Linked DNA regions of Styela clava. Each later gene encodes a partner of the first gene's protein in a complex. Links are inferred from orthologs where the notes say so. Each region holds a gene or a part of one and is shown on either strand. Other genes may lie near its edges. The genes, in order: nucleoporin p58/p45-like and nuclear pore complex protein Nup54-like.

Region 1 (17,088 bases):
TTTTTACCAAATAGCCTAAGGAACACACAATAAAGACTTCGTACTCAAACCGCTAATATCGCCGGCAACAATATATAAGGACCAATGAGGTGATCGAATTCAATACAGATGACGACACGTAAGATGTTGGCCCAATCTAAAGAAGACTTCATTACTATATTAATTTAGTGAAAATCCGTGCAAAAGGTGTAACAAATTAACAGATGAATTTAGGTATTTAACATCAGCAATAAAAATTGTTTTTGACGCCATAGATATTGATCGAATCGTGGCTTTCGCCATCAGATGTAACAAAATTAAACAATTCACATGTTATATGATTAGCAGTATACATGATTTAGGCCTATCTTGTTTTACATGGATTTTTATCATGCGGATTGTTCTGCAATAATGAAGCCGAGACAGAACCCTGCTCCGCGAAGACGAATGGTTTTTGATATGAAAAGAGAGAAGTTATTTTAACGAGTAATATGAAGTGTTTGTGCGTTCATTTTTAAGGTAATTCTCAAAAACAAATCTATTATTAGTTAACAATATTCATTTGGCAACAAAAATAAGTTAGACACATGTGTTTTGTTTATGTGACTCGATTGTATTGTAAAATTAATATCGGAGATAATAAAATTAATAGAGGCAATATTATGGTCCTTACTGTTATATTACGTTAACAGCAAAACCTATAGTATTTTTTATATTTCTGAGTCGCATTAGAATCTTGTTCTGTAACTAGTTAGTTAATAGTAGTTGTAACCAGTGGTGGGGTTCAATTTTTATGTCAACCGGTTTCATCACAAAAGTCATATTTTTCAAACGGTTCTGTTACAAAAAATTATTGACAGTAACCAATAATGCTAACCGGTTCGCTGATCTCATAAAATTCTGTGAGACGGTTCTATAGAACCGGTGCGAATCGGCTGAATCCCACAACTGGTGGCCATATCAGAATGACTTGAAAATGTAACGAAGCAGACTAAAAGTTACAAATGTTTGCCCAAAAATACCGTATGGCTTGTTGCAGAATTGTATCACTGGAGCGATATTATGGTATTTCGACATGCTTCTGTTTTGTTGGGTTTATTGCAGTTTAATTCGTAAATTATCGTCCAACAAACGAAAATTATAAAATGAATATTGACGTGCAATACGAGACCTATTTGAATAACCATCATGATTCTTCAAAAGTTTATTACTTTTGGCACGAGGTTAAGTCGTGAAAATCGGCTTCCAAAGTTATTAAGCTAATAAATATGATTTGTTCAGCAGATTTTGCCTCGCTTTATGAAACCTCTGGTATGTTGAAATGCACTTTATAACCATTAATGAAAATAAGATTTAATAAACGGATTAGTCTGCGGTTGGATAAGACGGAATAGCTGCCTGAATAAAACTTGAGAGAAGCAGACATATTTGAATCAAAACAATTCCGAGTAGGGCCTGTATAAACAATCGCGTTTGTCAATTCTTCGAATCATCACGAAAATTATGCTCGTGAAGAATGTGGTCTCTGGAGATGGAGTGACGGTATTGGATTTTGCTTACCCATACCGCGGCGGTATGAGTAATGCGGGAACAACTGATAGTTGTTTGAGAGCTTTACACACGTCTTCCATGTGATTTCATATGAATATATTTAATCGTCCATATTTTATGTATAGACCATATATATATATATATTTATGTATAGATCAGTATTGTACTAGATCACAGACTATATATATATATTAGAGAAGTTAAATGATATTAATTAGCTTATACCATTAATAATTGTCTTACCTTAATATTAGTGTAATCTATTGTTGGTATTCTTTTCATGCTGGTTGAATCTGTATACTAGAACTAGATCACAGTGCTGCATGCAGTGTAGAAATATATAATTTTACACATGCCCTCTGAACTCTACAATGAACCAGATATGAAGTGTCGACTAGTAGAAAACAAATTATCTGCCTGTCATTTTATTTTATATTGTCACAATCAGTGTTCCCTCTAAGGCAGTGGTTCTTAAAGTATGGGTCGCGACCCAAACATGGGTCGCGCAAGGTTTAAAAATGGGTCGCGACAAGGTCGTCAATGCAAGGGCAATCTAAGAGGAGAAGGAAGAATTTTCAGCTTTCCCAATGTTTCAATTTAGCTTCTAAACTCTGGTATTTAAAAATAATGAAATATAAAATTTCATTCACGGAAAGAACTGTCTTGAGCTCATTGTTACATCACAATTCTGATATGCCATTCACATGTATTATTTTTATGGTATCGGTAACCATGCACGTCGCTTGTCGTTGTGTTGACCGCGTGGAATGTCGTCTTAGTGGATTAGAATAACCAAAAAAGGGTGTCTTTTTGGTAATGTAAATTGTAATAGACGACGCAATGAAAAAGCTCGCTTCTCGACATTAGATCATTCAATATCTAGAGAAAATGTGACTTCATCTCGAGAGATACCAAAGGCCAGCTAGGATGTCGTGTTTGCGATGGACAGCGGACGCCTTTTCTGCTACAATTCGCGACAAGGCACTTGTGCGAGCGAGGATATTTGGCACTGACGGTTATCAAAACTAAGCTCGCAATCGCCTCGATACCCATGACAACTTGCGTATTGCGTTAAGTAAAATAGAGCTGTGTATTGAAGATATAATGAAAAGGAAATTTTAGTTTCATCAATCTCACTGAGTCAATGGACTGTTTCTAATAAATAGTTGTCTGTATTTGAGTCAAACTGTACTAACATTAAAAACACATTTTGCGTTATTTAGGATTGGGTCGCGAGTATTCATAAAACTCAGATTTGGGTCGCGCTCGGAAAAGTTTAAGAACCACTGCTCTAAGGTGTGCGCGTGTGCTCGCGCAGTAAAACGATCGAAAAAGAGGATTTTAGGTTGATAAACTTTGCAAGTCTAGAAATAAATGTTATACTCATAACAGTATTAAAAAAAAATTTTTAATTTGATTGGATGAAGATATCAATAAATTTGATAGTAAGTGCACAGAACAAGCATTGGAATGGCAATTTAGCAGCACTTCAAGCACGACATTATAAAATTGATTGATTACACAGTACTACATGAAAATATATGTGAATAGCTTATGGAGTTCCATCATGTGTGGACAGAACAAGTATATTCTGCCATGGCGGAGTTTAGAGTGCCGATATTAATGCTTCTTTCGATATTCAGTTACATGCTATTGGTTCATCTTTTTTCAATTTTTTTTGCAAATTTCTGGTGACGCCGAGGGCCGGACCATTTAAGAACTTATTAGGCTTTAAGTTGAGCTAACAAGTGCTCATTTGTAAGCTGTTTGCTGCATTTTGTCTTCCACGGCGTCATGATAACATTCTCACAGTAATAGGCTACGTGTTGCTGGGAGAAAAAACCATTTCTTGTGTATAATTTTTTTTCAAATTTGTGTAATGTCCATATACATAGCTCCTGTAACAATATGCTCATACTTTCGATTGCTCGTAATTTTGTTCTAATTTGATATTTTCCGGGAGATATTCGACAGGGTGCTGCTTTACTAAATATTTCTTCTCGAAAGACACTTTTCGATGAATATTTTCGAACCGTCATTGATCCACATTGATTTCGTAATTGATGGGAGTGTTTCTCAATATTGTTGCCTGTTTTGACACATTACGATAACTACATCCTGATTGTGTTTATAATGTATTTCAGACACCACTCAATGTCGAGCTATTCATAATCAACCTTGCTTTTTACTGGTAGAAATTTCAACTTTTTTAATCACAACAAGGCACCAATAAAAAATATCACATTATTAAAATCTTGTCAGAAGCATAGTCATTCCAGTGTGACGTAAACATGGTAATTCAAACTTCAAAAACACCGATAGGTTCGTTACAATGAGAAAAAGCATTATAAAATAATGGGATAGATCACTTACGTAGGCTTGCCATATGTCTGAAGCAAAAAACAGGGACAGTGTGGATTAGACAAGACTTAGTTATAGTTTAAACGTTTTACATACCATTGTGGATAGATTACGGGCACAAAAGTAAGCTATATTTGTGACCCATAGTGCATAACCGGGAGATTTAGGTCTACCAACTAAACCAACTTGCTGAAATCGGGACTCTCCCAACTAAACCGAGACCTATGGTAAGTCTACTCTTATGGAGCACGTAAATTGGCTCCGCGGACCGGACAGTGACCCACAAGCCGTATGTTATACCCCTCTGGTGATGTAGATCAGGGGTCGGCAACCTACGGCCCGCGGAGTAAAATAATCCGGCCCACGACGCTTCACTGAATTATAGTAACGAACCGACTGTTTTACCGCATATATTCTTTACGTAACATCATTTATTGGGATACACGTATAGACTAACTTATAATATAGCCCAACAAGTATATAATTCACAATTAGCTTATAATTTAATGGACCTTTCCCCGACTTTTGACCCCCGGGAAATTCTTCCATATTTCACTATTGTAAAATTTTCGGTGCTTATTTCAATAATGGATTGGCGAGTTGGAAATTACCGGTGAAGAACTTTAGCCTAGTCTATCACAGCTAGATTTGACAAACCATTCGAAAAAATTACACGAATGAACATTACAAAGAACAAGCTGAGAACTCGAATTGGTGATTCCCATTTTAGAAAATGTTTAAATCTTGGCTCCATCCAGTGTCCCGTGCCGCCTGATATCGAAATCATATCAAGCGTGCTGCAACAAAAAGTGTCGCATCAAATGTCATTTGTAATTTTTTTTTTCTTGTTCATGTAAGACGACTAAGTTGAGTTCACAAATTGTCGCAGTCTTCGCGTGCTGCTTAATAAACATCTTATATGTGTGAAAAATTGTTGATTCATCGGCCATCCGTTCGGTTTTTAACTTTCATAAAATATGTGCGGCCCGCCAAGTCCTGCAACTCATAATTTTGACCCGCGAGCGACAAAAGGTTGTGTGATGTAGATTGTTATCCCTCTTCACCACTTTTTGACATTTCCATTAGAGACCGACCAAGTGCAAAATACGAAAATAGCGCTGCCTGTAGCGTGCTATTCACAGAGGTGACTTCGAGCGTTGGCGCCTACAAACTGGTTTAATTTATCAAACCTTCATTTTTTATCTCTTGTATTGCCATGGCGCATTTATTCAGGCAATGTTTAGACTGTGAAGCAAATATTTTATTGTTCAGTAAATACGTAAAACTTCAGCGATTGGGTCAGGTGAGGGCGATTTGTCAGGGTTCGTAATGCAGTAATGTCTGAATGTCATGTGACAATTAAATTTATTTGTTTTGATCTATGAATTTGAACTCAATGCAGACTACGACTACGTTGTATTATTTTACGAAGCACGTCCGATTACCAGTCCATTTTGGATATGGTATTTTATATTTAATTTTGTCCTACTTCTGGACTTGACTTGAGTGATTGTGCATTATATTTCATATTGAAATGTGTACCAATGGCAGAATATCTATCTAAAAATATTTTACACTAAATTTACTTATAGGTATTTGTTTCTTATGTCAGTATGCTGGGCAGTGCTATAGTGATAAGGTAATATGTAATATAACATTTATAAGGGTCTTTTGTAGTTTCGTACCTAACATAGTCTACTTCTAGTGGGCGTAGCATGACGGGCGTAGCATGACATATTTTTCACGTATCAATTCTAACCCCCACCTGACTACACCATCCAAAAATTACGGCTTTACGACGCCACAGTGACGTAATAGAGCTCTTCAAACTATACAAACTGCCATCCAAGACGCGCAAACGAGCACCCGAAATCGAACAGATATTTTCTCGTCGCAACGATTCCAATAGGAGAGAGATTGATAATGTGAGTCAGTTCTTTATCGACGGCGCCAATCCCATTTCGGGTGATCCTACGTGTATTTAGCAAGCTTTATGACTTGATTGTGATGTCATAGTGATGTAATTTTTGGATGCCGTAGTCAGATGGGGCTTAGGATTGACATATTGAAAATTAATAATGCTAAGCCCACTAAGAGTACGTTTGGTACGAAACTACACAAGACCCCATTTATAGTTGGCACTTTGGTATGCCGTCTCACTCAACATTATCTCAATTGCATGAAGAGATTCTCGTAGTATTCGGTTTCTAATCCTAAGTAACATCACATAGATCTCACAACCATTGCTGCCTTAAGATCGCATACCAAATTAGCACACCAACACTCTTTCTTTTCTGCCTTTCATAAATTTTAAAATATTTTTTTCTACAGGTATCTGATAACAGTTATGTTATTAAACATTGTATTCTTGGTACTAATTAATGGAATACATTGTGTTATCAGCAAAAACATTACAAGTCAAACTGTTCTGAAATTTGGGCCGTTAGCGCTTTCTGAATACTCTGACGTTGGTAGTCAAGAAGTAATATATGCACCTATTCCTGCTTCGTACCTTCCTAATTTTTCATTTGAATGGACGGGCGGAATTGAGAACACTGGTTCTGGTTCACCTGAATCATGCCCCCATGTAAAAATCATGGTTTTGGTGCGAAAGTGGGGTTTACCGGTCCCCAACCCCACGGGTGCTACATACCCAGATAACACATGGCTGAATTTGAACGAAACAGCTATTGGGGGGTTTCGTATAACCCAATCCCTTCCAAACCGACACGACGAATACATCATGATTTTCTCTGATGAAGGGAATACAACAGGAGAATTTTACATTTCTGTTTTTATCGAAAAACCTGTTCAAAGCAGAATTGAAATACCGAATGAATGCGAATACATAGTTCAACTCATCATCAAAGCATATAGCGATCTTCCATTGGATATAGCCGTCATGACAAGTGAGAATTATTTTGATACACTGGATACAAATCAATATGAAAATAATATATTCTTAGATCGGTACAGAAACGGCCTACTGAGTACAGATTACATTACGTCAAAAGAAGGGTACAATATAAGTACAAATAAATCGTTAAAATTCAGCTGGATCGTACAACCTTATTCTGATGTTGGTGGTACTTTAAGAATAAAACTTAGTTTTAACTCATCTTTATTATCAAAAAACGATACAATTTTGTTACGTGGATGTGCGACATGGAACAGCGATACACCATTCACTTACGATACATGTGAAAACGGGCACAGTTTAATTGTAAATTCATCACAAGATGCTTATGATATATGGTACTGGCCGTTTCCAAAAGGTGGTCTGTGGGCTCTAGATGTTGGAATTGAATGCATCGAAGGAGATTGTGATAATACTGATATCAATATAAATCTCGATACAAATATCGTTCAGTGCATTGATTCATGTCATTCTGGTACATCTCAAGGTGAATGCAAAATTTACCGCACTGATATCTTATTTTTCTCGGCTTGTGATTGTAGAGGAGGTTGGCAAGGCATTGCTTGCACTGATGGTACAAATGCAGTACCTCGAAGCAAACAACTACTTGTTGTACTCCTGCTAACTCTAAGTAATATAATATTTTTTCCTTGTGGCGTACTGGCAATTATGAAAGGATTTTACTCAGAGTCGATAGTTTACTTTTTTGTTATGTTTTTTTCAACATTCTATCATGCTTGTGACAATGATTTTGCAGCTTCTGTATGTATCATGCCCTATAATACTTTACAGTTTTCCGATTTTTTGGGATCTATTTCAGCGATGTGGGTAACTTTGATTGCGATGTGCCGCCTTCCTTTTATCCTTGAATCATGTTTTCATATTGCGGGGTTGATGGCAATTAGCGTTGGTGTTACAGATAACAGATTCAGTGTTTTTACTACGTTAGTTCCAGTGCTGTGTGGACTGTTTATCCTTGCAATTAGGTGGGGAAGGCAATGTAAGGCTTCACATACTTGCTATCCAGCAAAACGTGTCTGGTTGTTTTCATTCATACCAGGAGCATTATGTGCCATTTTAGGTTTTGTATTATTTGTATTTGTTGAGGATCCAGATAATTATTTTTATGTACACAGCATGTGGCATGTTTTAATGGGATCAGCAGTTTTATTTTTGATCCCAAAAGAAAAGAAATTTTCTTCCCAAGTTGACGTTGAATCGGAGGATGGCAGCATATCTGGTACTCATTATAATAATGTAAATGCCACAGATTCAACCACTTTTCATCTAGAATTATCTGATGATTCTTCATAGTGGGAAACATTGTTTTATATGCACATTAGGCAGATAGATTAAGTACAGACCTCAAGATTCTTAATTTTGTTATAAACATGTCACAAGCAGGGATATTCATACAGAATGTTCCAAAACTCTGCACTGAACTTCATTTTTATAATACCAGCATGATGGTGTTGCAGCTGAAGTATTAGACTTATGTGTTGGCATTGTAGATTACACATCTTGTGTTCAAACCCTGTGTACCCCACTTCACCCAATGTGGTAAATTGGATAAGTCATTCAAAATAATAGTAGCTCGTTAAGTCGTTAGATATTGAGGGCTTGCTTGTATAAGATAGTATAATTCTGCATATTTGACAAAATCATCTCTGTAAATGATCATCAATTTATATTCTAATTTTTCACTATGGTATTTTAAATAGCCTAAACATTGGTCCTTATAAACTTTTACTGCTAGTATTTTTCTTCATCAAATTTTTTTTTAAATAACAGTTATAGAATGTAAAAAACATTTCAATGAGTGGTTTTAAATAAGCTTTGTATAGTGAACCTCAATAATATGTTTCACTTGATATAGTGATTAAATTCTCAGGGATAATTTTGTTACTGTTATATTAATAATAGACATTTGTTTGTCTCAGATTTAGAATTCCAGCTATTTTTCATTCTTATTTATTCTCAATTTATCTGGTCTATCTTTTGTAATAGTTGAAATATTGAATTGGCAACAATACATTGGTTCAGCATTTATATAGGATAAAAAAACGTATCCCGCCTCAAGTTATTTACCTTCTTGAAAGTTTTCTTCAATTTGAGTTTTTTTTTCATATAATTATTTTTTTCATAATTTTTCACGTTTTCTGACTGAAACGGCATTTTTTTCATGTCTTTCTCTCTCTCTCTGCTGATGAGACCCAAATCTTGCATATTTTGCATAGAAATTTTTTTCAATTCTCCATTTGTTAGCAATGAATATTTTTCTAAAACCCATTTTCAGATTATCATGCTTCATTTACTATAAAAATTTATACATGGTACGCTACTCCTTTCAAAAACCCTGTTAAAAAAGATGTTTTTATGCCAATTATGCGGTATTTTAATCGGTATATGTGACCTTAGGTTAATTTTTTTTTTCATTGCTCCATTATTCAGTAATCAGTGCTTTCATTTTTATGGTACAATTCCAGTCATATTGTAAATAAACGATTATGGGAAGCTACAGAAAGTTCCTGTCCTGTGCCCAGTATTATCTAACTTATATGGAAGCTTTATACCAATTTATATTAAAGTTTCATGAATGTTCTTTATTGCATATTTTTGTGTTTTGTAAATATTTTTCAGTTTGAAGCATTTTTAGATCAGATTGAATTACTGCATATCCTCGCATATAAGCCGACCCCCTGAAAACGACCTTAAAACAACGAATTCTTAAAAATTCCCATAAAAGCTAAACCTACAAATCGTGAGAACTTAGCATGGTTCGAGTTGTAGCTGTTGGAATTAAGTTAGCACAATTTCACTCGTTTGAATGCAATCAGAGTTATGCACGTTTAAGTCGACCCCTTGCTTTGGCAACTCTTCCTTGAGTTTTACACTCTGCTAATATGCGATGATATACTGTAAGAGATGTGCTGTATTTTTTATGATTCAATAGTGTGCCGTGTTCATAAAATCTAGCTTAGTTTGATTTAGAAAGTTATTCTATGTGTTAGTTGTTTTAAGTCTATATTAAGTTTGGTATTATAAAAACTCTGATGATTAAAACTCTGACTGTTTCTCTGCCTTTGTGTTAGGAGTAATAGGAATTATGCAAGGATGTTATTGAAAAATTCAAAACTGCTTTTTTGTATCGTTCAAACGGTATTGTCACAGTTTCACAAATTTTATTTTGTAACTTTTGTGAAAAAGAAATTTACTTGAATTTCATATGAAATTGGTCTTATATAATGAAAATGTTCCATTTTCTTAAAGGTAAATATGAATAATAAATATCTTCCATATATATACTCCAATTTCTAATGTATTATTAACAAAACATTAGCATTTTATTTCTGTATGGTACAGGTTGGCCTTTCAAAAAAGCAGAACTTGGGTCATTTGAAAATATTCTAGAGACAAAATAACTTCACATGTGCAAAGCGTCCTAGATTTCATTAAACATTTTGGATACATTCCATACACAAACAACAAGTGTTGATCGAATTTTTTCATTTTCATTGGAGTAATTAAGAAACATATGGCTTCTGTTTTTTGGGTTTGCTGTACGTTATTTAATAGACACATTCAAGATTTTTCCAGTTTTCTAATTTCTGTACAATATTCTAGTCTACTGGGCAACAAATATGTTCTGAATGTTTCAGTTCAGTTAAATAAAATTTTCCAGTTTGGTACTGTTTACTTTTCGATTTCTCATATCTGCCGTTATGTTATGTTTGATTTCGTTCTTATTGTGTTTACTCTATCTGTATTTGTACAACTTTAATTGTAAAATTCAATTGTGGTTTCCTGGTTGTTCTGTTTATTTTGCACTGTTTAACTCTTCTAATTATTTCTTCTTTTTGTTAATCATGATATCACCTTTTTTCAGATTTTGCGATTTTAGAATTAGTCAATTTTTTTTGGTAAAAGAGTGAAATCTGAAATGGCTTTCAGTTTTGGTAATACGGGTGCTTCGAAACCTGGATTTTCATTTGGGTAAGTTGATGCCTGAAACTAAATCGCAAAAATTTTTTTTCCGCTCTGTAAGTTGGGTACAGAATGAATACGCTAAATATTCCATTGTTCTGACAATATCAAGTTGAAACAGGATGGAAATTTCATATTTCTCCCCGGGGAGAGGAAATTCGATAATATGGCTTCATAATAATATGGAAATACAAGCTCCCCCGTCTAGTAACCAGTTTATGTCGGTAATGGGAATAGTTGATATTTAAAAGAAATCTTAATTTCACATATATCAACATTTGCCATGGCGAGCTTCTTACTTTGAATCAGATATAATTTATCTTATATTTTTAATCAGATCGTCAACGGCAACAACGAAAGCAACTGGTACAGTTCAGCCTTTTGGTTTTGGGAATGCTACAACTTCATCTGCTCCGAGTGCGAGCACCGGTTTCAGTTTTGGAAATACATCGTCACAACCTGCCAAAGCAACATCAAGCTCGCTCTTTGGTGCCTCCGCTAACACAACTACTTCAACTGGGCTGGGTGGGTCAGGATTCGGCGGAGGTATATTACCTATCATTTGCTTGTTCCATGAAAGTTAAAAAAAAACGTCTTCAGTAATTGAATAGTTTGTTGGTAAATACAATAAACTTGGAAAGTATTATTTTTCAATGTGCTTATCCAGTCATGATGACTGAAAGAATCATTTGAATAATATTAAGTTCATTAATAAAATGATTTTAGCATGGTTAACATCATCTTCATTTTTTTGATGTGTGTGTTGATGGACCAAAACTATGATTTGATAACAACCTTTGTATGTACCACAGTTATCAATATTCTATTGCCCGAAATGATAAATTTGTGCAAAATGTTGATCCATTCGAAAAATAGTTTAAATTTTTTTGAGGATACTAACAATTGAAATTCATCACGATTTTGGTTCAAGTTGTATCTATTTATATAAAGTTATAGTTGAATTGGAAAACTGAATTAAAGACAATGACATTCAATTTGGGACATTTTATACAAACTAGCCACAAAGCACAATCTGTTCGAAGTTTGAAAACAAGAATCCTAATTTACATTTCAGGATTTAAGCTTGGTGGATCTACAGCAACAACAGCATCAGGTACTTAACATAGTAAAATTATAATTCCTATTTAAAGCATGTTGTTTATGTTGATTGCCATTCATTAGAACAAATTTATACACTTTTTATACTGTATCTCTTGTATCATATTTTGACAAAATTTTGAAATATATGATAAATTTGCCATAAAAGAATTTTTTATCAGAATTGTTTGGATAAGGGATCAATAGTTAAAATTTTTATCTGAGTTTCATTCTTTATTTGGTAATGATTATAACAGCAAGAGGGTGTTCATAGAGTTCAGTTTACAATTTCAATTCTGTTATGGAGTCGTTTTTCAATATATCTTAACCAGGTTGTTTATTTCAATCATTATTTATTTATTTGAGTTTTAACTTCAATACACTCGTTGGGGCCAACAAACTATATATGGTATCGATAAATTCTCTTCGGAATTCGAAAATTAATTAAAACTTTATAAACACTTTATATATCTTGTTCTTTCGATCTTGCGTATTTCTTAAATTTAACGTTATCCTTTTATGGCATTATCACTATATATAGTTATTAATAAAATCAGGTTTCTTATTTGGCGGCAACACCGGATTATCTCTTGGGAATACCGGTGGCAGTTTAACGGCCACATCAACCACAGGATCGGCTTTTGGCACAAGCGCAGCAACTACATCGGCACCTGCTTTCAGAGGACTCGGAGGTGTCTCGTCGACCGCCAGCACAAGTAATCAAAGCGACGGTAATGGCAACAAAAATAACGGCGTAGGACAAGCGTTGAAGGAACAGCAAGTCCCAGATGAATTGTGCAAGGATGTTAAAGATTTTGAGTTAGTATGACCGTTTAGAATAACCGTTTTTAATTAAAATGTGTTCAAACAGACTTGAAATTAATTAGCCTAATAAAGAAAGCTAAATAAAAGAGTATTTAAGTAATGCTGACAATTTTAATTACAATATAGTATACATGCGGATGTGGTTTAGGTCAACTTTCTAAGGCAAATGTTGCTTGGAAACAATCTTAAAATTGAGTATTTTTAAACTGGGCCTTGGGCCCCTATTCAGAAGGCTGTTCAAACAGTACTGTAGGTGCCACAAGCAAAAGCTTCCACTGGCTGTCACTCATAATGAATTAGTTAATTTAAAGTAATTTGACTGTAATACATTTACCTATACTTCATCTTCTTATCTATTTGCTTTTTTATTAAACGTGGCGCATCAATTATCAATTACCGGTACCTCTGCTTCAAATAATTGACGTAATATTCCCACTTGTTACTGGGATAATTTTCTCAAAATTGGTTTGGTTTTCATACGTTCATTATTTTTATCTTACTCATTCAGGAATTTTGTGAAGAAGCAAAAAGAAGGAAGTAACACCATCGGTAAATTTTCAATTCGATCACTTCGTAAAATACAAGAAGAAGTTTCGTCACTTTCTTATGCTCTCGGCAGTGTTTCATCAGCCTTACATAGGTAGGTTCACCATTCGTTTTTAAATATGCACCGTAGAACTGAGTAATAATAATTTATTTATATATATATAGATATTCAAATTCTGTTTGACATTTTTTAAATTTTGTACTTGAGTTAATTGATATTTCGTTCGCTGAGGTAGGAATGAAATAGCCTACGATTGATCATATAGCCTAGGCTCTATTGAAAAAAAGGTTGTATCTTGGGTCTGTCTGATGTAAAATAGGAAAAAAGTATTGTTGCCTTCAGTTCAGCGGTTTCCAACCGGGGACACCCCAAGGGGACCACACAACAGTTGGAGGGGGGGGGGCGACAATGCTACGCGCAAAAATCGACAATTACTCGTTTTTGTAGTTTCATTGCTTGCTAAGGTTATTTCACAGGGTGTTTTCACTTCAATGAGCATAAATTGTTTGAACATAGTGGAATTTGGATTCTACCTCTGGAATGATAAATGGGGGACATAAGCGGTGAAAGCCCTTGTAAGGGGGCCACAAGCCATTGAAGGTTGGGAACCGCTGCTTTAGTCCATTCATAACCATGAATAACATGGTTGTTCTTAGTTTTACTTAGTCCTTCGCACCTCATTTAACTGGTATAATAGGTTAATTGTTCATCTCTAAGATTGTTGTCTGAAGTGAGGATTTAAACATTCTACCAAAATATTGTGAGTTAGTCACTGTGTATTGCTTTATTACTAGGAACAACGCTGCAGTTCAAAAGTTACGTTCTGATTTTACTGAAGAATTACGATACATTGAAATAGCGAAACATACTCAAGATATTCCACCTTCATTACAACACGATAATATTGCTCCTATCAAGTGAGTAAATGAAATATTTTGATATCAAAAATATGGAAAAATCACAATTTATACACAGAGTTAGGCAACCTATTAAGTGGGCGAATAGGGCCGCTTTAATAGAGGAATATAACAACACAATCATATTTTTGATTTTCTTTCATTGCTGTATCAGTTCAATATATGGGAATATTTCCGAAATTTTGCAATATCAATATTTGGATTGTAGCTGTTTTCCTGGTGAACTGCTTTAAGTTCTTGCACCAACCGATAATTACTGTTACGTAATTCGCGCTATATTGATTTATAGTCTCAGTAGCACTCTCACTTCGCGCAGAGATTGATCACCTATATTTTCGAGTAAGTGTGCCTGACTTTCGAGCGAATTTCCCAGTGAAAAATTGTTGATTTTATTACAATTGTAAAAAGTTGTGAAATAATGAATCCGTTTTAGACAACAGCAGACAACATACAAAGTAACAACAAAGTTTATTGGCATTTTGCTTATAATTTATACATCCGAAAATATTCGTACCAAGATGACGCACAACCTGAACAACCCTAAACTGGTACACATACCATACTATTTATTTCAGGTTTTTTATGAACATGTTATCAGAATTTGAATCAAGTATACAAATATATAGAAAACAAATTGAAGAATTAGAAAATCATCTTAGCTTAACCGATCAGTCTATCAATTTAACACCACAAGGTATGTTTCACCTTCATATTGGTTACTTTGCTGATGTATTATTTATATTATAAAAATCAGGACATCGTATAGTTTTGGTTGTTAATAAACTCGTATTACTTTTCATCAAAATACTTCAAGTTGTGATCAGATACTATCTTAAAGAGCTATTTCTTATTTATTTATTTTTCAAATTGAAGTATTTGCCCTTTTGTCGAGCCTGAGTATTACTCACTTTTCATGTAATGCATTTTTAAAATAATCTGATTGATTTTTGTGATCATGCCATGTCTCTTAAATTGCAGGATGGAAGTGTCAGATTCTTTATAGCCAGTTAATCAATTTAATAAGCCTATTAAGGATCTCTCCAATCGTATAGCTGTGTCAATTTATCACATTTTGGTCATTTCAAACCTTCGTAGTTGTGTGTGTACAAAATGTATTTGTTTTCACTGTATCACATTGCTTGTTCTGAAATGTGACGTCCCTGACGTGACTAGTAGTGTCGGCTTCCAAATATCAACTTGGTTTGCAATGCGCTCATGACACATGATGCGAATGTCGTATTCAATTCAATATACTTAGTTGACGTCTCGAAAGATTAGTTGCGGGTCATTGTTTTCTGTTGGTCAAGAATGGAATGTCCTACATAGCTACTTCTGCATTTTGTACAAATAATTCTTACCTTTATTACGATGATAATATTTTATAGCACTTTCAATATGATTTTGGTTTCAATTTATCTTTTTTATGTTTTTAGATATTTATGTGGCTTTATGCAAGATGCAGGAATCTTTTATCGCACTTGCGGCTAATCTACATTCTATACATGATCAAGTCAAGGTATGAATTGCTATTTATATTACTAATGCATTACAGTCGGAATTTGATTTAAAATTTTTTATTACTTACTTCCATCATTTGATCATTTAAACAAGAAAGCAATGCTAAAAAATCAGGGTATTTGGGTTATGATACAATGAATCTAGCTGGCATGAGTCTTTTTGTACATGAAGTTGACCTTTGGAGCGTTTTGTTATTACATTGTCATTGATCTTGTTAGGATTTCTTCTTCATGTTCATTTTGGTTGGTTGAAGATTGTTCGCTAGAAGGCTTTAACTTTTAGTTGCCCTATTGGATTCGTTATTTGTGTGTGATAATTAAAAATTGCGCATCTTGTGGTCAGCTGGAGACGTGAAGACTGCGCAGTGTCAGATCACATAACCATACGTCCATACTACTTCGTTGAATTGATCTAGCTAAAATGTGTCAAAACAAATTGCACAATGTTGCTATGTAGTTGCAAATGTGCCAGTAATAAATCCGTTAATATCAATATTTTTAAGATTCTTAAAGAACAATATCTGGTTTATCGAAGAATTGTACATAATGATACTTTCGACATTTTTGCTGCAAATAAACAGAAGCTTACGCAAGGTAAATCTTGATGATGTTTCTTCATTTGTCTGACATGGTAATAAAATAGGCCAAATTATAAAAAATCGAACTCTCATGCACCTGCCCATTTATTTGGGTAAACCAGTGCTTTAGTTTAAGATACATTGCCATGTTATATACCTGAAATGATATACTTTTCCGATTTGGTGGTATCCTAATTAATAAGCTATGTGATCAGAGGCTTCGAAAGACGGGAAAATAAGGGATTATGAGTCTATCCTAGGTTCATTTAACATTTTAATATAGTGAAGTTCTCGCTGCAATTCTTAATGTACTATATTAATTCTGTACATCATGTTGTAAAATTTTGTATAAAGTGTCAAACAAAATTGAATGAAAACTCTATGAGAATACATTCAACAATGACATATTTGAGAGAAAAATATCTAGTTGATGCATTTTCTACACAGAAAAATCTCAAAAGACTTCCGGCTTATCTCCGTTCAACCAACTCAGTAATGTTGCTGCTTTAGCTATGGCATCAATGGTTAATCAGCAAAGTCAACAGCAACAGGGACCACCTCAACAAGGTCTTTTGTCCACACAACCAGCTGGTAGGTGATGATAGGGAATGGCAGTATCATTGCAAAAGGGCATGTGTAACACTTGTTTTAAATTATGTCATCCCTATTTCGTATCAGGTGGTACAGGACTATTTGGCGGAGCAAACAAACCTATTGGCACTGCAAGTTTATTTGGTGGTGGATCTACAACCACTGGATCAAAGTTCGGAGGTTTTAGTGGGTTTGGTTCAACTACTAAACCCCTCAGTGCAGG
Region 2 (16,232 bases), about 2.5 Mb from region 1:
ATTATATTTCTATATCTGATGGATGAACAAACTAGCTATATTGTCTTAGTACCTGCTGGCATAGGATCTATTATTGAAATATGGAAAGTAACGAAGGCATTAAAAGTTAAAATCATTAAAAATGGTTGGAAGTTTTCAGTGCAATTTGGCACACTTTCTGGAAAGGAGAAAACTACTGATAACTATGATCACCAGGCAAGTTTGATTTTTTTTAGTAAAACCTAGGATATATCTATATCTTATTTATGTAATTTCTAATTGTTGCAAATCTCAGAATGTGAAAAAAGGATGAAAAACTGAACTTTGCTGGGTTTTTTCATACTATCATAGAGATCCAGTATACAGCTATTTCATCAATGCAATTTAGCTTAACGTTGTATGGCATGAACTGCATATTATTATGACTAATATAATATCACCAGAAAAAAAAAAAATATATATATATATATAACTACATTTAGGCCAAGATAAAAAGTGGATTAACTTTAATTTTGTTGTTGAAAGTATACATGATAAGTTTGTTTTAAAATTCTAATATCTGTTTTATACAGGCAATCAAATATCTATCCTATATTCTTTATCCATTGAGTGTGTTTGGAGCAATTTACTCGCTCTTCTATGTCCCTCAGAAAGGGTGAGTAGAATGGTAGTTAACTTATAAGTAAACATTATTGAAAATATTCCCCCTCTCACAATATCATAAACAATGGGTCCCTAGGGGAGATTTTAGGGCACTCCCGTTACCCTAGTATATGTACTAGATTAGGGTTAGGCAATCATTTTATTCCGATTTTCCGCTTTCTAGTGTAACTGGAACTATTTTAGTTCTATTACGAGTGTAGCCGATCGAATAAACCCTTATAGGTTTCAGTCTCTTTATACAACTTGATGAGAAGTAGGCGAACAAAATTAGTTACCTCCATATTGGTACATACACTTCTGAAGTGCCGATTTTAATACATTGAAGTTACAGTATCACACTTTCTGAATATTGTCATAGGGACATACATATTTTCTATATGATTTCAGTACTTTGCGAAATATTTGTTACTTCCTCATATCTAATGCATTATATTCTAATTTCAGATGGTACTCTTGGGTGATCAATAGTTTAGTTAATGGTGAGTATATTCTCATTGCCTTGGAAATATATTAATTTTTATTAAATTATATAAGTTGGTAATAGGCAACCCGTAAATATGAATTAATATTTCAATTTTCTGAGTCTTCTCGAGATTTTTTTGTTATTGTTGATACTATGTATGTAAACTCAAACTTACATCTTTTTTTATACAGGTGTATATGCATTTGGATTTCTATTCATGTTGCCACAACTTTTTATCAATTATAAATTAAAATCGGTAGCACATTTACCATGGAAGGCATTTACATATAAGGTATGATACTTTGGTTTTTCCTTAGGATTGACTACGCCTATTAATAATACAGTTTCATTTATTTAAAATTCACAAAATATTTGATTTTACTCTTGCTGTAATTGTTCTTATTTTAGGCATTCAACACCTTTATTGATGATGTTTTTGCATTCATTATTAAAATGCCGACTAGTCATAGAATTGCTTGTTTTCGTGATGATGTCGTTTTCTTCTGTTACTTGTATCAAAGATGGTAAGTTGGTATTTCATTTTTTTTAATCAATTTTTTGTGATACAGTCTACTTTTATCATGAATTTTAATCATTTATTTTGTACAAATAAATGTTCGTATTTTTAAACCAAAAGTAAAATGATATTGATGAAAGAGTTGCGCTTGTGGAATTTATTTCTCTGACTTGTGTCCTACCAAATTGTCCACCAAAGAAATCTATTTACAACTGTTAACTTGTCAGTAGTTGTAGTCATTTCCATTTTCTGAGAATTGTCTTTGAATTAAAGTGAGGATTTGCTTTGAGCAAACTTGTTAATATTTTGGGATTTCATATCTGTTTTGCGCCCAAATGGAAATAGTTTGATCATGCTTATATTTAGTTAACAGAAACGATTATTTGTTATTTCTTTATGTATTATTAGGTTATATCCTGTGGATAAAAAAAGAGCGAATGAATATGGCATATCTTATGAAGAAGACAAAAAAGAAAAATAGTTTCCACTGTTCCGATGAAGCTTTTCCTAATAGTTTTATACATCAACAGTGTTTGAAGCTGCTTATTTATATTATTTTGTTCCATTTGGTCTAGGAAATGACTTGAAGCGTGTACTCGTGTTTGGTTACTGAATTAAATTTTAATGGGGGAACTCGGATATTTGTATTGAACTGCAGGTCCTTTCTACTTGATTACCTTCTCTTCCGGATCCGTATGTGGTACTCACCACAAGGATGCTTGAACAAGATAGTAAATTTTTAGTATTTAGAACTTCTTTTTCGAATACCTCATCAGCTCTTGTTGATTTCAATATATGGACTTGTTTCTGTCCCAATACTTATTGCATAAATTATTTTGACACATTTACTGCTCTGTCTAACCAAATAAATTCAGATTAAAGAAAAGCATACGATTGATTCGTTTTTGAAATTTGTAGCCTTAACCTACCTTATGAATGAAAAAATTATCAATCAATGAACAAATTAAAGGGCTTGGCTTTGAATCCCATGTTCATAATTATTAAGTGCCATCGATTTAATGGACTATGTGGTTCACATAAGCTGGTTGATTATTGTCCATTGCATCAGAGGCTAAATGGTTCCATTCCATGAATAGGTACAAACATGCTCATCTCCATGTCTTGCACCACAACACCAAAGTCCTGTGTACTGAAATTTTTTCTCTCTTTGCAGAGTTTGTTACAGGCAGAAATTTTACTTTCGTGAATTAACCAAAGTTTTGGCAATAATGGTGCAATACTCTTATATCAGCTTTTTTATATTCATGCCCTTGGTATTATCATAGTGTTCTACTTGGTGTCCGAAACAGTGCAATAAGGCCTGGTCACATAAGTTTCTTTGTTAGATGCTGCGGTTGGTTTGCAAATTGTAGGATTTGAGTTGTTGGGCTGGAGACACAAATATATTGTAACCGGACGCGCCATACATACACACAGTAGATTCGTTATTCACTGTGCTACACTGCCGTTAGTTATACTTGCTGTGGAATTTTACTGGACTGTGACTTGTAATACTGTGTCGAGGGTTAGCTACGGAAGTAGATTGACAACACCGCCCAATAAGCAGAAATAAGACCTGTTGAACCTCGAACTCTACAGAGTTATCTAATAATCTCAATACACCGAACAAGATTTCAACTCACTCGCTATGAAAGTATATGAACCTGGCAGAGCATTTATTAGTATTCAGCTGGACCTACCCACACTGGCACAATGACAAACACACCTCATTGACTAAAGTTTGATTGAAAGTGGACACCAGCGTATAAATTTTATTCCTTCACAGTGGGAAAGTATTGAAACATAGCAATTTAGATACTGAAGAGCATGGTAAAAGAAGATTTCCATGAAAGGCAGGAATACATGAAAGATATCAACCCAAATCAATACATAATGTGCATGCCTGAGTGTGAAACTGGAATTCTCAACATTGAAAAATGACCGGTTTGATTGAATCAGAAGATGACCTTTGCCCCCCTCTCTCCTGGACAAACCCATTCAATAAACTCTTCCTCCATGCTAGATGAAATAGGTTCTGGTGAAACACTTGGTACGAGCACTCGATCGTGATAATAGGTATATACTTCAAGATTCCGTTTCCTAAAATCAGAGAATTATTCATTTGTATTTTACAGTTGACATCTTCTCTGGTGATTCAAAAAGACTTCTCTCTCATAATAGTTTAATGAATGTCTTGCAACCCAACCCAGTCACCCCATCTACGTGGCAATAAAGTGGGTAGACTCCAGCCATCCCCAGAACTGTAGCTCCTTACATATAATTGGGAACGGCTCATGGAAATATCAATAGACATGTTTGCCTTTCAAAGAAATCTTATGACACATAGCAATTCTCAAGTACACTGAGTTTGCTGAAAAGACAAGCATGATAGAATAATAAGTTCATCCCTTTAATTCAAAACAGCAAAATTATGGGAAGCATATACAAAACACAGAGTTAACAATTTTATACATGACCAACATAGCTTACTGTACCAACCTGCAAACCAAGTCGACCAAGCAGTCATCAGGCATATTGTTACAATCAGTCAAATCTAAAAATTCCAGTCTAGGTAATGTTTTATCCAAATCATTCAACCATTTATCTCCTTCAATACCGAATAAACCAATTAGCGACATCCGTTTCAGTTTTCTGAACAGAGAAGAATATAGATATAGTGTATAATGCCAAAATTCTCATTTAAATGCAACTATAGATGTGGAAATTGGTTTCAATCAGTGTTGAGTAGAGGTTGCAAAAGTGCGACAAGTCGAGTCATTGATCATCCAAGTCTCGAATCGAGTAAATGACTCAAGTCTCCTCAACTTCTCCCAATAAATAGAAAATAAACTCCTTGGGAGTCATAGTAGATTTTATAAACAACAATGGGTTAGGTATCTATGAGTGAGGTGATCAAATCAAGTATTTGAAAAGAGGGCTTAAGCCTGGCCCTTGACACACCCCAAAACACTGATGCAGCCAACTTCAATTATTCGCACAACTATATCATTAAATAAGAGATGACTTGAAAATAAGTTAGAAATTCCATTTTATATAGTACTATGTGATATAAGGGCTTTAAGAGATAATGATAGCAATTTGATGTTCAAGATAAATATGAACAAATTTAGTTTATATTTCATTCGCAACCTATCATACTTGCAGTTATCAACGACTCCACACATTCCTTTATCAGTGATCTTCCAGCACCAATCTATAGTGAGAAGTTCGAGTTGTGGGCAGCTTAAAACAGGAAATTTTATTTATAACATTAGCGGCTGAATTAGGTTACTCAACATTCATTTATAGCAGCAACATCTTGTGTTAACTCCTATCCTGGCTTATATAGCTGCCATTTGTTGTTTTATGCGAGCTTGACCACAATGGCAGGTAACAATAGTTTTACTAGGCTATTTTGTTTCCCTCTTATTGAGGTTATCTGGAAAGCCCAGATCTAACTATATTTATAAGAGTATACCATATCAGAAAATGTTATCCTAGAATATACTATGTTGGCTCAATCATATGGTGAACCACCACCGGTTACCAGTCCGTGCCAGTTACTTGCTCCAGATGCATGGACTTGATGGAGTAAGCCTGGACCGACCAGTGGTTACCGTAACCAGCCTGTGATGGCAAGGAGTCCAGTGATACTCTCTTACATAATTATCCCTCACAGGATAAGATCTGAGTGTGAAACAGCAAAATGTAATCAGAGGTGTAATAACAAGCGTGTTCTTAACACATAGCACTATGTGCCAACTGCCGATGGTTCAAGATTCCAGTTAATAAAAAAAAAAGGCAGATAATTAATTATCAACAATACCTGTATGACATAGAAATAAGTGCATCATCATCCATGTATTCACATTCTGTTATTGTAAAACTTTTAATATTAAATATAGAAGACGAATGAAATAATTTGCATATTGATGCTCCGGTGAGGTTTGAAGCTTTCCTGAATTTCAAACTTTCAAGTCTATAAAAATAAGAAGTAAAATTATTTTAATGCATATTTATAAAAAAGGGGGTTCTTAATTTAATCAAACCAAAAGATTTAAATGATGAAAAAGAATATTCAAACATTCAAACATAATATGGTTTTTTTTCCTGTTCCTTTTATATTTGATTGTTTCTAGAATCAGTTGCCGAACTATGAACTCTTCAGTCTTCACTGTCACTAAATACAGCTTTGCTGTGTTTATTTTACAGATATTAAACAAACTGTGTTTTTCGCAAGTTTCAAAACTTGTCTATCCAAAAAAATAAACACTTCAGGTCTTCATGTGGATTGACTTAAACTGCTTCAAATCTTGCATCAATCAAAGTTTGCTAGCATCTGATGCATAGCATATATTCAGTAGCTCTCAGTTTAACTTAAAGTTGCCCACAACTTTGCTTAGATATGACTCATATAAAAGTAATAAAACTCCTTTACTTCTGGGTGGGTGTGTCTCTACTTTGAGCAAATTATTTATAAATAAGTTTCATAAAACAAGGTAATAAGAGCAATTGTTTGCACTTTAAACCAATTTCATGTATAACATCCCTCCCTTATTATTTTCACTAGAAAACTTACTTATATCTTCCTTGAAACGAATAAACACTGATATCGGAGAGTGATTGACAAAAAGAAAGCTCAAAAACAATTAATCCTGGTAAATGTGATGTTGCAAATAAAACAAGGTCATCTGTCATTTCTTCACCATCTAGAATTAACTTTTCCATTGAAGGTTGATGACGTATGAAATTGACCAAACCACTGTAGATTGAAAATTCAAGAGATCAGACAGACAGTAACTAAAAGTATCATGTGCAAGTGATATGTACAGGAATACATACCAAAGATATTTTCAAATATAAGAATCAAGAATATTTTTTAGTTCTATGGTCTAACAGCCACGGTGCAAGCCCACCACTCACCCAGAGTATAATAAATTGGGTATTTGTTAATAACTTCTACAAAAATGAAAAAATTTATTAGATTTTGTTTTGCTTCAACTTCTGTTTGTGCATGATTGTACCCGAAATTTCCTGATCTCGAAACTCAAGGCATGAAAGATACAATTGCAAGCGTTGCGCAAAATCGTCACAAATCACAAACACACATCACTATGGGGATTTTTCTGATTTTTGTTGCAATTGCAGTTTTAAGTTCACCAATTGATTGGGGAATGTTCTGATACACCCCATCCTTCGAATACCCCCACAGATAAAAAATATGATGTGTTCAAGTCCAATGAGGTGAGGGATTGACTGAGTTGGGGATTGCCAATTTGAGTCTGCGAATACAAGTCTGTCTCCTATGCTTATTAAGAGGTGAATTGGAACATTTTCTAGAGAGAACATAACTTATGTGTAAAACGTCCTAGATTCCTGGAATTTTTGGGTACAATGATGCACAAACAGAAGTCCAATTAGAAAGTAAATCACCCTTATTTTGGGTCACCCTGTAGAAGCGAACTCAAAGTTTTACTAACCTTTCAGTAGTTCGCATTACTCCGTCGCAACTAAGTTCTTTAAGATTAGGAAGATGATATAAATATAATAAGAATTTGTTCGTCAATAAGACACAGTATGATACACACAATTTTTTCAGCTTAGAAAGCAGAAATATTTCAGAAAAATCATCATCTGCGATGCAACTAAAATGAAACAGAAAACGAAAATAGGTATGAAAAAAGTATATTATCCAGCTATGGTGTTTAATCTTCTTACAATTGGAAGAGATCACCAACTCGGACAAAGTAAAACAGACAATTGGCTAGAAAAATCAGAGGCAAGTGACTAGAAAAATCATTTGAAAATAATGCATTTTTTAGAAGTTTTTCCCACGCCTATTCTATGATGCATTGTCGCTTGGTGGCATCACGCTTTTTTACACAAGCTGTCTGGACATTCCACTTGTACTATTCAACAACAATACCATAAACAAGCATCACTTGGCCATATGCCAAATAAAGAAAATCAATATGAAACCAGGGTATGTTAGAATCGGCAGTCTAAAAATAAATCCTACCTGCAACCTTCCAAGCAAAGAGATTGAAGATTTGTGCAATGTTTACAAATAGTTGATAAATCCACATCATCACAGAATCCAATATCTAATTCCTGCAAGTTTGTGCACATGCACAAATACTGTAAAGTTGTGTCTTGTAGCCCACAATCATTAAAAAATCTGCTCATCTTTATCGAGTATACAAATGAGTGGAATATCCTTAATATTGTTTCAAAATCAGAATTAGACACATTCGAAGGTGCCATATCACCGTGTTTTTCAATCATAACTTGAATATCCTTATGCATTTTATGAAAATCAATGTCCCTCCATAGTGAAGTGTCACGACATAAATTATTCCATCTTTTGCAAACTTTGCATACATTAAAATACAGTTCCGCTTGTGGTAAATATTTTAATATATTTAACCATATTTCTTGAGGTAATGATAACCAGTCAACATTCTCCACAAAAGGTTGTTCAGCACATCTGCTGTCGATCAACGAGACAATCTCTGATGACAAATTACAATCATCCCCCATTTTCAAATTTTCTATTTTTGTCCATTGGTTATCAAAACAGATAAAGACTATCAGATTCTGTGATAAGATACAGAAGAAGAAGTTTTTGGAAAGTAATATACAAATTAGCGATTTAACATGTCTGCATGTGCTTATCAGGTAGCAAAAATTGTTGAGCCAGGCCAACTAGAAGTACGTACGGCAGTTAGTGAACATGCGCCAAATAAAATAGTATAATATTCATCAAAACAATAAACCCTGAATGATCTGCTGGGGCATGTTCACAACACGACGTAAGTACTACAGCACCGGTATTAGGGGTCTTCTGAAGTACACGCCGCAAGTACTTTTTGGGTGACGTACTCAGGTGGGGTTAGGACTATTGGGTCTGGTATAGTTTAGTACCACATGCACTTCTAGTTGGCCTGACTCAACCATTTTTGCATATGCCAATCTTAACCCCCACCTGACTACGTCACCGAAAAATTACGTCATTTCGACGTCACATTGGCGTAATAACCCCACCACAAAGTGTGCAGATGGTCGCCCAAACGCGCAGACGATCACCCGAGATCGAGCAATCAATTTCTCCCGTTTTCTCGTCACAACAATCACGATAGGAGAGAGATCGCCAGCTTTAGCAAGTTTGTTATCGGCGGCGCGGATGCCATTTGCCCATTTCGGGCGATCGTAATTATACTTTGGCAATCCCTATGACGTGATGGTGACGTCACAGTGACTTCATTTTTGGATGACATAGTCAGGTGGGGGTTATGAATAGCATATGCAAAATTCGTTATGCTACGCCCACCGGAAGTACTTGTGGTACTATACTAGACCCGATTATTCATGCAGCAAACTTTCCTATGTTCGCCCATTGCAGTATTGGCTATATTACTAAGAAATGTATAAGATGAAATGATAAACGTTTCAACAGTACAGCAGTAAAACACATAATACTGTAATAATATTGGCGCAATAAGACTAGGAAACCACCCACCATCCATATTATTCAGTTATTGATAAATCAACCATTTTCACCAACCTAAACAAACCTGCAAACACCAGACCACTGGCGGGATTGTAGAGTGCAGAGCAGATCAAGTCCAAAGTGACTATAAGTCGTGTTGTGCAGGGAAGCCATGATTGATGATTTGAGTGGGATTTTCCGCGATGGAGAAAAGGATTTATGTGTGAGTGAGGAGTTGGTTTTGACTCGATTAATGACTCAATTAGATTTATTTTATGTGATAAGGTTTTTGTTGATTGAAACGATTTAAGTTCATTATTCTTTCATTCAATAAACTATCTATCTATCTATCTATCAATATGCGTCGCCCGAGAGCTGCACGATAGCCATTTTTCACGTAAACCCTTCCTATTGCCATTTGTTTGTCTTTTATTATATCGAGTTCAAAAGCAAAACCTGGGGCCGTGAATCAGAAGTTTAGGTTGTGCACGTTTAGGAGCCTGTGAGTGAATAGGCAATGGTGATGGTATCCTAGCTTCAGCTATGGTAGGTAATTATCTCTACCCAAATAGGCCTATATTGCGTCTGTTTAGACAAAATCCTAATTAAGCTCAGATACCGTAATTACCGGAATCATTTTAAGGTTAATTTCAATTATAATTTTATTAGGTCCAAGCCCAATTGTCTGATATTACTACAGAAAGTCAGCATGTTGGTTTATGTCAATTATCAGATTATTGACACAAACCATGTCCGCATGTTGTATAACTTGTATTCATAACTCAGTAATTGCAGTATTGTGACTGATGTTTGCCTTCTAATTCTGCCTGAAGTTGTTTCATACACTGATGCTGATGTTCTTTCCGCAGCTTTATTTTGAATAATCCATGTTGTGAACCCATCACAAAAAAGTGGGGAGCATTTCGCTTTTACCTTGATCATAACGCATAAGCCTACTACTGTACTACAGCCTGACAGCGGTGGTAAACTACAGTCAGACAGTTGTGTGATCTTAAGATGGCGTTTAGTTTTGGCAATAAAACTGCTGGAACTGGATCATTGTTCGGGCAAAGCGGCACAACTTCAGGTAATTTTATGATTCATATTACGGTGCTATAATAAACTAAATACAGAAATATGTTTTGATAAAGAAAGCAGTACAGTCGGTTTAGTAGGCCCACATACAGACATATGCCATACGTATTTGCCATTGAAATTTAGAACTTCATGTAACCTCAAGGCTGCAATTTGCGAACAAAATTGAAATTTATTCACTAATTAGTGCAGTGATGACAATTCTACATGTTTGTATTAAATACCCGACTGTTAGTACTGTGATTTGCGATTTTTTGTGTTGTGTTATTTGTTAAAGTTAAAACAGTTCAAAAATTGGCATTCGTTTGGTGGATGAGCTGAGTTTCTTGTGATTTTTGACTTTATTACCCTTCTGGCAGTATGGTTACCTACTCCAGTACTCTACTTATTTGTTTGCTTAATTTTACTTTTTCAATTTCCATGTTTCATTTTAAAGTAGTCAAAAAAAATCAATGAAAAAAGAATGTTTTGTTTAGCTAAATAGTAAGATGTTGCTTTTGAACCACATAAAACCTGCTGTTACTTGGGATTTAAACATTTACTATTCCAGGACTAAAAACTGTGTTTTAATCACGCTTCCTTTATCTTGCATTTCTTCAGGTCTGATGGTATATTTTTTTATTTTACAGCTTTTGGGGCTAAACCTGCCACAACTGCTTCTGCTTTTACATTCGGAGCAGGATCTTCTTCAGTCACAGGTGAGAAAAATTGAATGGTTGAATCTTAGTGTACTTGTTTGTACTTTTAAACATTATATTATGAGTTTTATTTTTTTGCTATGAATGTGGTGATGTAAAACAGGGGTGTGCAAAGTGAGGCCCGCAAAGGAAAATTTTGCTGTCGAATTTATTATCTATGCCTATGACGTTGCAACGTCCTGACAGCAAGGCAAACAACTTGATTCGCAAAGCTGTCCCCTGCTGAGCAGCGAACAATTTAAGAAAAATATGGAGCAGACGCTAATGAACTTGTAAGAACAGGCAATTGAAGTTTAGGCAACTGGCAAGCAGTTTAGCAAGAATTTATATTATAGATATACAAGAGCTAAATGAGTTCTGGTTTCAATGTATCAATTGATTTTGTCTAAATCTAATCTAGAATAACGAAAACACCAAGATAACTTTCTACATTTAAAAAAAGTCGTGGCTTCAACTTTGGCAATATCATGCGTTTCAAACCATCATTTCGGCAAGGAACCTCTAATGATGGCATGAGATCAATAGCAAAAAGACACTATTTTGTGCCTGCAACTAATAGAAAGCCTACGTTAAATGGTGGTGTGGCTCGCGGCTCCACCCAAATTGAATTGAAATTATTGAAATTTGGCCCGCCTGAGAAAAAAGTTGCACACCCCTGATGTAAAAGATTGAAGTTTTTTTATTCTTGATTTCATTTCATATTTTATATTCAATGCTTGGATCAAATTATTTATTAAAAATATAAATTATTTTGTCAATATGAATTAAAAAATTTTTTTTTATCTCAGTAAAGTTAATGCAATTAAAATGTTGTTATTTTCAAAATTTTATGTATTATTATCAAGTGATTAAAAATAAAATGAATTTCAACTTTTGCCAAGCCTATGTTGGTAACCGTCTTAATGCCCAATATAAGGTATTCATATTTTTGCAATTTTGTTCAAAGGTTTTGGAGCCAAGACTACCGCTAGTATATTTGGGGGAGGAAATACTGGTACTTCAGGTTAGTGTGTATGTGAAGTTAGTATATAAGTATATAATGCATGGCAATGACATAGGACAATCGAAACTTGACATCGTGGGACTGCACACAATGATAGCGCATGAAAATAAGAATATAAAATAGATGTAGTCTTCATTAACTTCCCATGTTTGATGTGAGTTATAATTGGATAGTTTTCTTCACCTAACGTTATCTTTTTATTACATCTAGCATTCAGTGGATTTGGAAAGACGACAACAACTGCTTCTACAGGATTTTCAACAGGTATTCAAACCTGATCAGAGAGTGTTTTTTCCACTCATTCATATTCATGTGTTACCGCAATGCTCTTATTCTGGAAGCCCGATTAGAGAGTATAATATCATCATGTTTTTTTTCACATGTAGCCTATCTATGTCACAAATGATTCCCTTTAAAAATTTGTCATCCTGACCTGATCATCTGTCATATGTAAATATAGTCGACATCCTCTATTTGCAAAGATGTGAATAATTCAGTTTTTTTCAGCCCTGAAGTTAAGTTTTGTTGTGGTGAACCAATGATTCTTTTCGATAAATGTTATTTAGATCAGGGTGGTCCAAGGTCGTGGGCTCCGCGGGCCACAAAAATATTTTGGCATTGGTCGCGGGCCACAATAGTATCAAGAATAGGTAAATAGTGCAGTACAAAACAAGCACTTCTATTGTGTAAACACATAGTTATCAGGCATTGCCAACCAAAGCTAATGAAATCCGCATTCGATTTTTAGTTTTCTATTATGCCTATATTGTTAGCAAATATCCCCAACCAAAACGATAGAAATCTAGGTAACAATTTAAACTGACCATCACATCATTCAACTTTGCTAGTTGCTTCAGCTAGCCATCATACTAGTCAATTCAGTCACAGTGGTAATATAACAACAATATGTCAAACGATTTTTCTGATTTATTTTATAAGAAGCAATTTAAAATACAATATTTTGATTACTCTTCGAATGCGGCGCGGGCCACAGATAATGAAGCGGCGGGCCAAATGTGGCCCGCGGGCCTGGGTTTGGACCACCCTGATTTTAGATTCCTTTTACTTTGACTGTTAGACATACACTTTTGTTTGAGCTGCTAGTATTTTTTCAATTATTTTTAATGAGTATTTATTTGAATTTTAGGATTCACTTCAACTTTAGGAGGAGGTGGATTATTTGGAGGAAATCAACAACAACAACAGCAGCAACAACAACAAGTTCAAAACAGTCAGGATCCCGGAACTACACTTCTTTTAAATACAGCTTCAGCGCTGTCTGCTCCTATCGTGTTTGGTGATGAGAGAGATGCGATTCTCGCTAAATGGAATCAGATTCAAGCATTCTGGGGAACTGGTAGAGGTTTTTATCGAAAAGATGGATCACATGTGACTTTTACTCCAGAGAATCATTTCTGTCGCTTCAAGGTAGAACATTTAATAGCTGAATGAAATTCGTCCTTAAGATTTTGTATCACGATTTGAACATTTTCTTACTTATGACGAATTTCTTGTTTTTGGCCAATGGCCATTTCCGTAATGTTAACCGGTTCTTAGTTGAAGATGGTATAAGATTGTGATATTTTTCAATAACATGTAATTGCTTTTAGATTGACCAATTAACATCTTTTTTATATGGCGTATTTAAAAGTTTTTCACTCTGAACAAGGCACTGTATAAGCATCCACTGCTAGTGCTAAGCAAAGTGCTAATATACAATGAAAAGACCAATATCTTCCCCGTTTGGCATTGCCTCCTCAATTTAGTACCCTGGGTTGGTTGTGTTCATGGGATTTTTAACCTGTGAGACTGTGATATAGTTGATGCAGACGTTTTAACCACTAACCATCGGGATAAATATCGAAATCAAAATTATCATGTTGAGATCTACATGCTTTTCAACTGCTTATTTCGATGGATCCTTCATTTGGACCAATCAACAAGATATTTATTTAATCATTATGTCATTCCTGTTTGTTAAATTCTAGTAAACAACTGATGTTTTTTGAATTTCTACAAATCTTAATTAGAGTTGAATTATATTTTCTCTCAGGCAGTGGGATATAGCTGTCTTCCAAAAACGAAAGATGATGAAGGACTGCTTGCAATCGTGGTGAATAAAAAAGAATCCGAAATTACTTCAGTCGGAAATGATAAAATATCAAGCGTTATTCATGGGATATTAGAATCAAAACCCAATTTGTCAGTCAAAGTGGATTCCGTCAGATCGCTACCAGGAGACAGGTATGTATGATACGTTTTTCAAAAATGGATCAGCATTTATATTTCTCACATTATAGATATAAGCCTTTGCAAATAATTACAGCAATTGGATGTGATTGGTTGTTTATAAAATCTGTAAGTTTTTTTTCCCATTTTACTTATTTATCTATCTATCTTTGCAAACAAATGTCTCTATACAGAACAGAGATAACAGTCTATGTAGAGGAGCAGTCGGCTGCCACTGGCACAATTAAAAGAGTACCAGCATCAGAACTCCACGCATTCGTCAGCCAACGTCGTATACAACAGCAACTGCAACAAAATATGGCTGCAGTATCATGCATGCCCAGAGCGGCTATGAGACCTGAACAGATTAAACAGATTTTGGAAAATCCTCCATCTGGTAGATAATTTTAATTTAGCTTTATTTGTGTTTTTTCATATCTTGCTATTTCCATATTGTTGTTTGATTTAGAAGTATTGGGATTTGGGTAGGTTTTTATATTTATTCCATAAGTTTGAGTTAAATTGATAGCATGTATGTTGGCATATCATGCCTGTTGACATAGCTCCTTTAAAGACATTTTGTTTGAATCAAGATTTCTATGGGGACAATTATGTTCTGTCAATTCACGGCTGTACTATTTACAAGCGACTCCGGTGTAAGAAAAATTTTGAATCATAGGAAAGCAAGTTTTGATAACGAAAACTTTGGTGTATGCGAGCTTTCGTCGATAAACTGTTAACTCATTGTTTTTGAGGAAAGTTTTGACTACCGGTACTTTAACCTCTAGTCAAAGTTGTTGATTGGAAATTCTAATTTTTACTCTGGGGAGTTATAAATGTAACTCTTTTGATCGACTAGTTGTGACATTATCTAAACCACAGAGTTCGTGCATCTGTATCGATTGACAGAATAACTATTCCCATATCCAACCTGAAATAATCAGAGGGGATTCTGCGATTCACCGTCCTATAGCAATTGATTATTGGTTTAAATTCAATGAACTTTATCACACAGCTACGTCCCCCTCTCCAACTGAACTATAACAATAGTTTGTGCCTTATTTTAAAATTTCTCAATACTTTACTTATTTCAGGAATCGATGCTGTAATATGGGAGCAAGCTAAAGCAGATAATCCAGATCCAACATCCTTAATTCCAGTTCCAATGATTGGATTCAGTGAATTACAGAATCGTCTCATGCATCAAGAAATGATGGCCAAACAACATCAATCACGTTTAGATGTAAACCCCTTTTATTTTCCATTAATCTGATAATAATTTCTATTGCATAAGTTTTTCTATATTTAGAGAAATCACAAATCATTTGTTTTTATTATTGCTGGTAATGAAGTACAAACTTGAACCTTTTTTGTTCTCAGATATTAAGCAACAAATTACATGATCTTCAACAAATGCAAGTAAACGCACAATCAATGATTGAACAAAATAAAAGACAATATTTACAACTATCACACAGAGTTCTGAAGGTTAGTCTTTTTATTCTCAACTAATGGATTGTTGTACCAACTAGTTGGGGTTGTTGCAATAGAATGGCATTGGTATGAGCATAAAAGTCCGTGGAATGCCAAAAGCTTATAGTTATATTTCAATTTGTAGTGATCACATGATAGTTTTGAGAGTATTGCTAATTGTGCAATACGTTTGGAACACACTTGTCATGGGTTCGGATGGGGTGTTACTATGTGCGATGAGGATTACTGGACTCCTCTGTTTCATATGGATGTGGCTCGGGTCTTGCTTCCTCTACTTTCGTCAATCCATGCATCTGAAACAAATAACTGGGGATCTATTTCCATATGCAACATGGACAATAATCCTACCAGCTTCTTCAATGATAAACATGAGATTCCTTGATACTACCGACCACAGTAGAAAAATAATTCTTGTTCGTAATCGAAAATGTACATGCGAAATTGGTATTACCTTATCAAACATTTCACTACGATACTGCAATAAATACGACGCTAAACGACAAGTAATATTGCTATCTTATTAAGATAAAAATGGGTTTCTATTTACACAAAATTTATAGGTGATAATTGCACAAGAGATTTGTAGAAAAGCAGGATTCGCT

What was found.
Region 2: the proteins of nucleoporin p58/p45-like (region 1) and nuclear pore complex protein Nup54-like are in contact, whole or in part, in a crystal structure (PDB 4JO7), measured with the Homo sapiens proteins. The link is inferred for Styela clava from reciprocal best matches to the Homo sapiens genes NUP58 and NUP54. Residues at the interface, in NP_054808.1 of Homo sapiens: Pro342, Tyr345, Phe346, Leu349, Val350, Phe353, Gln356, Leu357, Tyr360, Gln363, Ile364, Leu367, Leu371, Gln374, Ser378, Ile392, Tyr393, Phe396, Leu399, Ala400, Leu403, Ile406, His407, Val410, Lys414, Tyr417, Tyr420, Arg421; in NP_059122.2 of Homo sapiens: Tyr453, Leu459, Glu462, His466, Leu467, Gln469, Gln470, Gln471, Gly473, Leu474, His476, Leu477, Ile478, Ile480, Ile481, Asp484, Leu485, Ile488, Lys489, Leu490, Val491.

What each region holds. Positions count from the first base shown.
Region 1 is NC_135262.1:10,604,912-10,621,999, forward strand, and holds the start of nucleoporin p58/p45-like, read left to right. Parts: upstream 1-10,683; 5' UTR 10,684-10,748; coding exon 10,749-10,801; intron 10,802-11,129; coding exon 11,130-11,338; intron 11,339-11,867; coding exon 11,868-11,906; intron 11,907-12,447; coding exon 12,448-12,709; intron 12,710-13,223; coding exon 13,224-13,355; intron 13,356-14,056; coding exon 14,057-14,179; intron 14,180-14,754; coding exon 14,755-14,873; intron 14,874-15,612; coding exon 15,613-15,695; intron 15,696-16,199; coding exon 16,200-16,290; intron 16,291-16,721; coding exon 16,722-16,865; intron 16,866-16,952; coding exon 16,953-17,087; intron 17,088-17,088. Other genes in the region: transmembrane protein 8B-like, read left to right, coding at 6,239-8,122. UniProt on the Homo sapiens protein: Component of the nuclear pore complex, a complex required for the trafficking across the nuclear membrane.
Region 2 is NC_135262.1:8,081,571-8,097,802, forward strand, and holds the start of nuclear pore complex protein Nup54-like, read left to right. Parts: upstream 1-9,270; 5' UTR 9,271-9,334; intron 9,335-9,520; exon of another isoform or gene 9,521-9,657; intron 9,658-9,980; 5' UTR 9,981-10,128; coding exon 10,129-10,198; intron 10,199-10,835; coding exon 10,836-10,904; intron 10,905-11,850; coding exon 11,851-11,907; intron 11,908-12,117; coding exon 12,118-12,171; intron 12,172-13,054; coding exon 13,055-13,335; intron 13,336-13,960; coding exon 13,961-14,151; intron 14,152-14,330; coding exon 14,331-14,533; intron 14,534-15,230; coding exon 15,231-15,379; intron 15,380-15,516; coding exon 15,517-15,624; intron 15,625-16,190; coding exon 16,191-16,232. Other genes in the region: lipid scramblase CLPTM1L-like, read left to right, coding at 1-195, 552-634, 1,087-1,121, 1,297-1,397, 1,514-1,629, 2,031-2,103; F-box and leucine-rich repeat protein 13-like, read right to left, coding at 3,578-3,722, 4,122-4,274, 4,782-4,865, 5,449-5,601, 6,202-6,384, 7,103-7,267, 7,642-8,162. UniProt on the Homo sapiens protein: Component of the nuclear pore complex, a complex required for the trafficking across the nuclear membrane.